Caenorhabditis elegans: one gene and its partner. The protein of the gene in region 2 interacts with the protein of the main gene of each other region in a pairwise test. Each region holds a gene or a part of one and is shown on either strand. Other genes may lie near its edges.

Evidence for each region. Proteins that work in one complex are often made in the same cells at the same time.
Region 1: the proteins of sydn-1 (region 2) and ssup-72 interact in a two-hybrid assay, tested with the Caenorhabditis elegans proteins (one study listed by BioGRID).

The regions. Positions count from the first base shown.
Region 1 is NC_003280.10:6,775,509-6,778,440, forward strand, and holds ssup-72 (RNA polymerase II subunit A C-terminal domain phosphatase ssup-72), read left to right. Parts: upstream 1-1,567; 5' UTR 1,568-1,568; coding exon 1,569-1,651; intron 1,652-1,695; coding exon 1,696-1,842; intron 1,843-1,913; coding exon 1,914-2,043; intron 2,044-2,091; coding exon 2,092-2,325; 3' UTR 2,326-2,381; downstream 2,382-2,932. UniProt on the Caenorhabditis elegans protein: Protein phosphatase that dephosphorylates 'Ser-5' of the heptad repeats YSPTSPS in the C-terminal domain of the large RNA polymerase II subunit ama-1.
Region 2 is NC_003279.8:2,376,548-2,383,374, reverse strand, and holds sydn-1 (Synaptic defective enhancer 1), read left to right. Parts: upstream 1-1,523; coding exon 1,524-2,362; intron 2,363-3,669; coding exon 3,670-3,816; intron 3,817-3,867; coding exon 3,868-3,982; intron 3,983-5,598; coding exon 5,599-5,740; intron 5,741-5,792; coding exon 5,793-6,286; downstream 6,287-6,827. UniProt on the Caenorhabditis elegans protein: Acts as a negative regulator of nuclear pre-mRNA 3'-end processing (mRNA polyadenylation). Plays a role in tissue-specific expression of protein isoforms by regulating differential processing of pre-mRNA 3'-end (alternative polyadenylation).

The DNA of each region.
Region 1 (2,932 bases), on a different chromosome or scaffold from region 2:
TAAGATATAATTCGTCTATGTACCTGTTGAAAGAACTCAGATCGAACTCTTTTTGTGAAATTCAGTTATAATTTTTCGTTAAAAAGAGAAGCTAAAAGTTATTAATCTGAATTAAACGAGTCAAGACAGTGAATCTAGTTGATATTTGGTATTTTATTGAAACAATACACGTATAAAACATTTTATCATGGGTTTTTCGGCCCCAGGTTTGTTGGCACAGTATTTTATTTCTTGCCACATACTACTGTACGTTTGGGCTCAAATAAGCCATACAAAGTGCTGAACTATGAAGAATAATGTTTCAACATTACATTACTTACAAAAAATCAGGTATAAAGCAATGTTTTCAGTCTTTCTTGGCTTTTTTCAACATAACTTAGTATTACCATCATATTCTGTGCCTCAACTTAATCGTTACAAGTTTGAATTCTTGAGGAAACTGTATTTAAAACCTAGGTTACGGCTTTTCAAAACTCAAATGTATAAAAACGGTATCTTCTTAAGCTTTCGTTTTTACTTTCCAATACTTTCCTTTCAGTAAGGCTTGAAATTTTTGAAAGCTTCACTGCTAGTTTCCCACTTCACGATTTTCCATTTTCAACTTGTTAAAAACTGACAAGATCACAGAAAAAGCCACACTTCCATGATAAAACCACAGAAAATTAAAGAAATTGGGCTGAATGTCTCACATTTGGTGATTCTGGCACATGATCATTTCTCAAAACTTCAATTCAAAGATAAAATTGTTTGTGACCAAACCTTCATTTCTTATTTGGCTTTCAGGCTATATATTTAATTATATTTCTTAATTGTCTTCAAATTTTTGAGAGTTCCCCACTTTATGTAGTGAAAACAAAGATAAACTTCTTATTTTCTCAATTTTTCAATAAATTTAACCTTTTGCAGCAAGGTATTCTCTTTTTAACTGAGAAAACTATTTCAAAAATTCATTTCATCTTCTTTCCTTTGTTTTCTCAAGAAAAATTCATAACATAAATGTATTTTTTCTGCAAAAATAATTAGATATCCAGAAATGCGCCAGCACGCGAAAGGCGCATCGGTGAAACGCGCAAGCAATCTCCCTCCTTCTTTGTTTCCACCCGAGGAGACCGTGCGTTGGGATTTTTACAGTATTTACGAATATTTGTAACTTTTCATATAAAGTCGGCGTTTTAGAAGTAGGTTTCGCAAGTTTTTCTGTTTCGATAAATAAATCTCAAAATTTTAATATTTTGTAAATATTCATTTCTTCATTTTCGTATATCTCGTGCCTTTAAAGAAAAATCATTTTCCGCAAAAAACTATTTTTGAATACCCGCATCAATGAGGGCCTAACATTCCATGCGGCGGCCTAGAAAATTATGGACGCGTACTCCTCTCGGACGATTATTGTTTGAATGATTTTTTTTTATTTTCTTCAGTTTATCACCAAATTATTAGTCTTTTGCCCTTTCTTTGACAAAATTATATCGAAAAATATATTATGAGATTTACTAAAAACCTATTTACTCAATTCATTTTTGTTTGTTCTCAAATGATGCATTTTCAACAAATATTATGTTTTCAGAATGGAGTATTCATCAAAACTTCGTTTTGCGGTCAGTTGTTCCAGTAATATGAATCGTTCAATGGAAGCACATGGCATCTTAAAGTAAGCTATTGAAATAACTGAGAATTCTAGGATTTTTTTTTCAGAAAACGTGGCTTCAATATCGAATCGTATGGGTCTGGAAATCAAGTGAAAATGCCAGGACCAACAGTAGATAAGCCCAATTGTTATGAGTTTGGGCCAACGACGTATGAAGACATTTATGCGGATTTAACAAACAAAGATCTTCACTTGTTAGTTTTTTTTCGAAGTTTTGAAATAATATTCTGAAAATTGTTGTTCATTCCAATTTGAATATTTTCAGATACACACAAAACGGACTTCTTCATATGGTTGACCGAAATCGACGAATCAAATCTCGCCCACAGCGATTTCAAGCAGAAACTCGTGAATTCGACATTGTTCTTTGTTTGGAAGAAAGAGTTTTCGATCAGGTCTGTTGATTAAAAAAATGAACGCAAACATGTTTTAAAATTATTCAGGTCGTAGACTTCTTAAACCGCAGCGTTGGTAAATCTGGGAACCCAGTCCACGTTATCAACATCGACATTGAAGATAACGCAGAAGAAGCTACATTTGGAGCATTCTTCGTAGCTGATCTCTGCGAAAAGCTCGAAAGATCTGAAGACTTCGAAGAAGATATAGATCAAATAATCACCGACCTCGAAGAGAATAATCCAAAAAGAAACCTTCTCCACACAATATGTTTTTATTAATTTTTCAATGTTAATTAAATTATTATACGATGATATTTTTTTAAACCAACAAAAACAACACTGTTCATAACTTTGCATATAATAATCGCAAGGGGGAAAACACATTCATATTCAATAAGGCTCCGCACAAAACTTGCTCACTCTTCGTTTTCTTTTTTACATGCATTCTTGAGGACATTTTACCAGACCATCATTCTCATCTCATAACTTTTTCCAAATCAGCGAATAAGTTATATTTCAAAAGGATCTTCTGGCTCCACTATGATCCGAATTCCAACCAGGAAATTTTTTCGTACGCGTTTCTATAATTTTTTCCCAATTGTAAGAAAGCAATCGTGAAAAACACTCGAAAGAAACAAAATTTTGAAATTACAGTAATCTTAAAATACGCATTTGTATTTCACGAAAAATTTTCGTGCTGAGACCGGATTCCGTTTTTGGCACACAATTTTTCGTCCCCATAAAACATAAATCCAGGACTTTATATTACTTTACGAAGTGTTTCATCTGCATTTTTATATCTATATAAAATTTATTTACAACTCGTTCTGAGAAAGTTCTCACATTCTGCGTAATTTCCAATCACATATTCGCTGGTTTCACATAA
Region 2 (6,827 bases):
ATCGCTTTTTTTTCAATTCTAGCCCACCCACCCACGCATTTTTTGCAATTTTTTAAATACTTCCTACCCGAACAACCGTGCCTTTATCTCTGAAAATCTCCTCACTTTATATGTTTTGATTTTTCTCGAAAAATTCTTTCAATTCAATTCTGACGTGGTGTCAGAGTGTCTCATTTCGGCTTGATCTACGTTGATCTACAAAAAAAAGTGCGGGGAAATGGAGGCAGAGTTCTCAACTCATTTTGCAACAAAAAAAATTCCCGCATTTTTTGTAGATCAAACCGTAATGGGACAGCCTCTGGCACCACGTGTATTCTATTCTATGATCTTTTGAGCTATTCACACCAATTTACACATACAATTTTCGAATTTTGCATCTGAACTCCCTTACCTCATTGAATATAAAAATTATTTAACTTTTTTTTTTGGAAAATTTTTGTTTTTTTTTTCGGTTTTTTATCCGAATTTCTACTATTTTGGGTTTTAAAAATTTTAGTTTAAAGGTACAGTCAAACTTTTTTTTTCTTCAAATTTGGGCGGCAATTGCCGTTCGGCAAATCGCGGAAATTGCCGGTTTGCCGGAAATTTTCAATTTCGGTAATTTGCCGATTCGCCGGAATAATTCAATTCCGGCAATTTGACTATTTGCCGGAAATTTTCATTTTCGGCAAATTGCCGATTTGCCGGAGATGCTCAATTCTGGCAGTTTGCCGATTTGCCGGAAATTTAAATTCTGGTAGTTTGCCTATTTGCCGGAAATTTTCAATTTCGGCAAATTGTTGATTTGCCGGAAATTTCAATTTTCGATAATTTGCCGATTTGCCGGAAATGTTCAATTCCGGCAATTTGACTATTTGCCGGAAATTTTTAATTTCGGCAATTTCTCGATTTGCCGGAAATTTCAATTTTCGATAATTTGCCGATTTGCCGGTAATTTTTCTTTGTCGGCAACTTCTCGATTTGCCGGAAATGTTCAATTTTGGCAATTTGCCGAAAATGTTCAATTCTGGCAATTTGCCGATTATGCCGGAATTTTCAATTTCTGCAGTTTGCCGATTTGCCGGAGATGCTCAATTCTGGCAATTTGCCGGAAATTTCAATTCCGGCAAATGGCCGGTTTGTCGACTTGCCGATTTGCCGGAAATTCATTTTCTTTATTTTCGGGCTAAATTCTTCGGTTTATTTTGTTAACTTTTTCTTCTGTTATTTATAAAAAAATTTAAAAAAAATTTCCGCCAAATTGCCGGAATTGACCCTTTCTGGCAAATCGGCAAATCGCCAGAATTGAAAATTTTCTGGCAAGTCGACAAATTGCCGGAATTAAAAATTTCCGGCAAATTGTGCTTTTTCACATTTTTGATTTTTCAAAAATTAAAAAAAATTTTTTAGTTTTTTTACAGTCATATTCGGTCATTAGAGTCTATTTTCTGCCAAAAAAAAAAAAACAGAAAAATTTTTTTAAAATAAATAAATAAAATTTTTTCGACTCTCCTCCACCTATTATAACTTAATCTCATTCAGAAATGGGAGAACCTTCACCTAGTCGGCGTCGATCAATCACCTCAGGAATACCATGCCCGTCACCAACGAAACAAGTCCTACCGCCACCGCCACCAGAAGAATTGCACAATATTCTACGAAAACGGCCACGGAGCAGCGCCATTCCGACGACGAGCCAGACTCATGTGAGAGCTCCACGTAAGGAGACGGATGTTGTCGATCGGATTTGGCACGATATTGACGAGGAGCAACGAGAAAAGCTGGCTCGGCGGAAGGAAGAAGCCGCCAAGAGAAAAGAGCAACAGCCGGCTCAACACATCAGGGACTATTTGCCATTGACTGCGACAAATTTGAGGAATTTCCGGAATGAAGACTCGACGATCAGTGATTTTATACATCGGCAGGGGATGGTTGACAAGCTGCTCGGCTACAAAATGCTGCTGGGAAAAATGGAGAACTGCGGGACGCTGGGCTACGAGAAAATGAGCGAAGACGAGGTTCAGCAGCTCTCCAGGGAATGGCTCAAAAACTTTTTCCCTTCAGAGCAAGCCCACGTCGGCCCACGTACCCCACCGAGCCCCGCCGTCGATTCTGATGGTGGTAGTTATCCGAAACGGCCTCGTCGAGGCCCGAAAACTCCTCCCGGATCTCCTGGGCCTTCGATGGATCAGGCGGCCGTGAATCGACGGGAGCTCATCGAGCAACTTGCGAGAAATTTTGGAATTAGTTCGTATAAAGTGGAGGAGACACTTGGCACTGGGTTGGACAAGGCGCTTGAGGATTGCTCGAAAAAGTTGAAGAATGAGCTGATGGAGACGTTTAAGGATCAGCTGTTGAGCCAGATTGATCGGAAAACTAAAATGTATGAGAGTTGGAATATCAATGAATTAGAGAATCCTATGTGAAAAAAATGTCAAAAATCGATAATTTCCATGAAAAATCGATAATTTCTATCAAAAATCGATAATTTTTATTTCTGAAAAACTCGATTTTTGATATAAATTATCGATTTTTGATTAAAATTATCGATTTTTGATAGAAAATATCAAAAATCGATAATTTCCATGAAAAATCGATAATTTCTATCAAAAATCGATAATTTTTATTTCTGAAAAACTCGATTTTTGATATAAATTATCGATTTTTGATTAAAATTATCGATTTTTGATAGAAAATATCAAAAATCGATAATTTCCATGAAAAATCGATAAATTTCATCAAAAATCGATAATTTGAATTTTAAAAATATCGATTTTTGGTATAAAATATCGATTTTTGATTAAAATTATCGATTTTTGATAGGAATTAACAAAAATCGATAATTTCTATCTTCACCGAAAAATCAATATTTTATCGATTTTTATAAATTTTTTGCAATAAAAAAAATCTATATTTTATCGATTTTTATAAATTTTTTGCAATAAAAAAATCAATATTTTATCGATTTTTATAAATTTTTTCATTAAAAATTAATATTTTATCCTTTTTTTCAACAAAAAACTAATAATTTATAAATAGATTTTTCCAGAATAAAAATCGATTTTTAATCATTTTTTCTTTAAAAAAATCAATATTTTACCGATTTTTAATCTTTTTTTCAGAAAAATCAATATTTTATCCTCTTTTTTGTTCAACAAAAAAACTAATAATTTATAAATAGATTTTTCCAGAATAAAAATCGATTTTTAATCATTTTTTCTTTAAAAAAAATCAATATTTTTCCGATTTTTAATCTTTTTTTCAGAAAAATCAATATTTTATCCTCTTTTTTGTTCAACAAAAAAAAAATAATTTTCAGATTTTTCGAGGAAAAAAATCGATTTTTCTGAATTGTTTTTTGCGATTTTTCAACAAAAAAAAACAATGTTTTCTAGATTTTTTAAACAAAAAATATCGATTTTTAACAATTTTTTCAATTTAATGAACATTAATCAACATTGGTAACAAAATCAATATTTTATCGATTAAAAAAATTGATTTTTTATCAATTTTTTAAGAAAAAAAATAAATGTGTTATCGATTTTTTTTTCAAAAAATTAACACCACTGTCGATTTTTCTGAATTTCTTTTTTGCAATTTTTCGGGATCCCAGGGAATCGAAAAATCGAAAAATTTGTTCGATGAAACCCTCATTTAAGATATTCTTTTTAAAAAGATATTAATTTTCAGTCGGGACGATTTATCGGATCAAATGGAGCTGGTCTCGGATTGCTCACTATCACCAGATTTGATAAAAAAGGAAGAACCAGACGTTGTGTATCATATGGCAGTACCACCACCACCTATACCTCCACCAATTCAGCCACCTCCTTATTCGTAAATTTTTTCCAGAAAAATTATTTTTTATTAAAAAAAAAGTTTTTTCAGTTACTACCCAGTAGCTCCAGCTGCTGCTCCACAAGTCTACCATTATGCTCCACCACCGCCACCACCGCCCCCGCATCCCCAGCAGGGGTTATATCAGCAGAATATGATGGCCTATGTAGGTGTTTTGTGGAAGCCTGGAGGCCCGGTTTTTGGAAAAAAATTGGTTTTTTTTTCAGAAAAAATTTAAAAAAAAACAAAACATTTTGATTTTTTTCCCCGAAAAAAAAAATTCAAAAAAAAGTTTCAAAACACAAACAAAAAATTCTGAAAAAAAAAAAGACGAAAAATTTAGATTTTTCCAGTAAAAATTTAAAAAACCCCCTAAAATTTTAGATTTAAAAAAAATTAAAAAACGAAAAATTTCGATTTTTTAAAAGAATAAAATCTAAAAACGAATAATTAAAAAATTTAAAAAAAAACGATTTTTTCAGTAAAAAAAATATAAAAATGACTAAAATCAAAAAACGGAAAATTAGAATTTTTCAGAGAAAAAAAACGGATTTTTTCAGTAAAAAGATAAAAAAAGTGATACATTTTTGATTTGATAGAAAAAAATATCGAAAAACAAATTTGTTTCATTTTTTCAGAAATTGTCAAAAAACGACAAATTTTTGGTTTTTTCATTTAAAACTATTCAAAAAAAGTAACATTTTTGATTTATTTTTAAAAAAATCGAAAAACAAATTTTTCATTTTTTTTCCAGAAAAATCAAAAAACCAATTTTTAGAAAAATAGATCAAAAAACAAAGGTTTTTTTTGGTTTTTTCAAAAAAAAATTTTTTTTTTAAATCAAAAAACGAAAAATTCGAATTTTCAGAGAAAAAACGGCATTTTTCAGTAAAGAGATAAAAAAGTGATACATTTTTGATTTATCTAAAAAAAAAATCGAAAAACGAAAATTTTCGATTTTTTCAGAAAAATATTAAAAAAACGGAATTTTTTTAGTGAAAAGCTTTTTTTTTCCGAAAAATCACTTTTTTTTGAGAAAAAATACCGGAAAACGGAAAATCGAAAAACTAAAAATTTCGATTTCTCAGCAAAAAAAAACTCGATTTTTTTTGAAAGATTCCCCAAAATTTTGGTCATTTTTCTTATTTTTAGACGTTATTTGTTTTGTTATAAAGTTATTTGTTTTCTTTCAATTCTGAGAATGCGTACTGCACAACATATTTGACGCGCAACATATTAAAATATCTCGTGGCGAAAACTACAGTAATCCCTTGAATGACTACTGTAGTGTCGATTTACGGGATCTCGATTTTCGAAAATTTTAATATTCTATCGACAAATAAATTGTATTAATTCTTTTTGAAAAACGAGCCCGTAAATCGACCTACAGTAGTCATTTAATGGGTTACTGTAGTTTTCGCTACGAGATATTTTGCGCGTCAAATATGTTGTGCAATACGCATTCTCAGAATTTAATAGTCCCGTTATAAAAATTTGAATTTTTTTTCGATTTTCTTCAATTTTTCGGTTTTCCGAAGTCAAAGTGTCTCATTTTGGTTTGATCTACCTAGATCTTCAAAAAATGCGGGAGAAGAGACGCAGACTTTTCAACTGATTTCGCATGGTTAAAAACGTGCTGACGTCACATTTTCATGGGAGAAAATTCCCGCATTTTTTGTAGATCAAACAGCAATGAGACAGCCTGACGCCACGTGTGATCCTTGATCTGATCCTTGAAATCCTGGGATTCATCAATCAATTTAAGTCTACTTTCTCTTTCAGCCCCCACCTATGCAACATTTCAATGCTCCACCGCCCCCAATGGCTCCGTATCAGCACCAGGCTCCTCCATCAATCGTCCTTCCACCGGTGAACGTTCCACCTCCACCGATTGGCGTCCGAATTGATACTCCAATTCCTACTGGCAAGACATTCCGATGAGTCGGATCCCCAAATAAGAAGAATCATTATTTCAGCAGTGCTGCCGATTCCAACGATGGTTCCACCACCTCCACTGCCACCACCACAAGCTCCATTCTCTGGAGATTGCTGGCGAGCACAGCCAGCGGCTCCGGTTCCGGCCTCCGTGCCAGTCAGTTCGGCACCACCACCATCAGTGGTTGTTAATGTACAAAGTACTCTATTCTCTGCTCTCGGGCTTCATCACAAGCCTCCACCTCCTCCTCCTCCACCTCCTCCTCCGACAACTTCTTCTACTACTACATCTCACATTCCACCACCACCTCCTCCTCCGCTTCCGTTCTCTTCGGCTCCGCCACCACCGCCACCGCTTCCGATGGTCGCTGCTGGTCCGTCTCCGCCGAGCTTTGTTCCTCCTCCTCCGCCTCCGAATCCGAATCAGAATCCGTCTATCGTTTTGTCACCATCGGCGGTAACCGGAGGCGGCGGCTACCGGCATCGTGTCAATCAGTTTCCGCCGCAGCAGCAGCAGTCGTTCTCGAACTTTTGAATCCTTTCACGTGGTGTCAGAATGTCTCATTTTGGCTTGATCTACGTTGATCTACAAAAAATGCGGGAGAAGAGACGCAGAGTTCTCCACAGAGCGGCTTTTACTACGTGGCCTAGAAAAATCGAAAACTCGGCCAATGATTTATCTGGGATTTTTGACGTGGGATGTTTTTGAAACTTGACGAGAATACTCTCGAAAGGGGGTTCTATAGTTCCACCGTGGCGATTTTTGAGAAAATGTTCCGTATCGATGTTATGAAGGTGGCCGAGTTTTCTTATTTTACGGCCACGTAGTAAAAACCGCTCTGTGTCTCAACTGATTTCGCATGGTTAAGAACGTGCTGACGTCACATATTTTTGGACGGAAAATTCCCGCATTTTTTGTAGATCAAACCATGATGGGACAGCCTCCGGCACCACGTGTCCTTTCTCATTTGCCTCTCTGTGAAAAATCTGTGAATCTTGAACATATTTGAAATATCGATTTTTTTCTCTTCATTTCCTTGATTTTCTATTTGAAATTAAAGTTTGTACTTTGTATT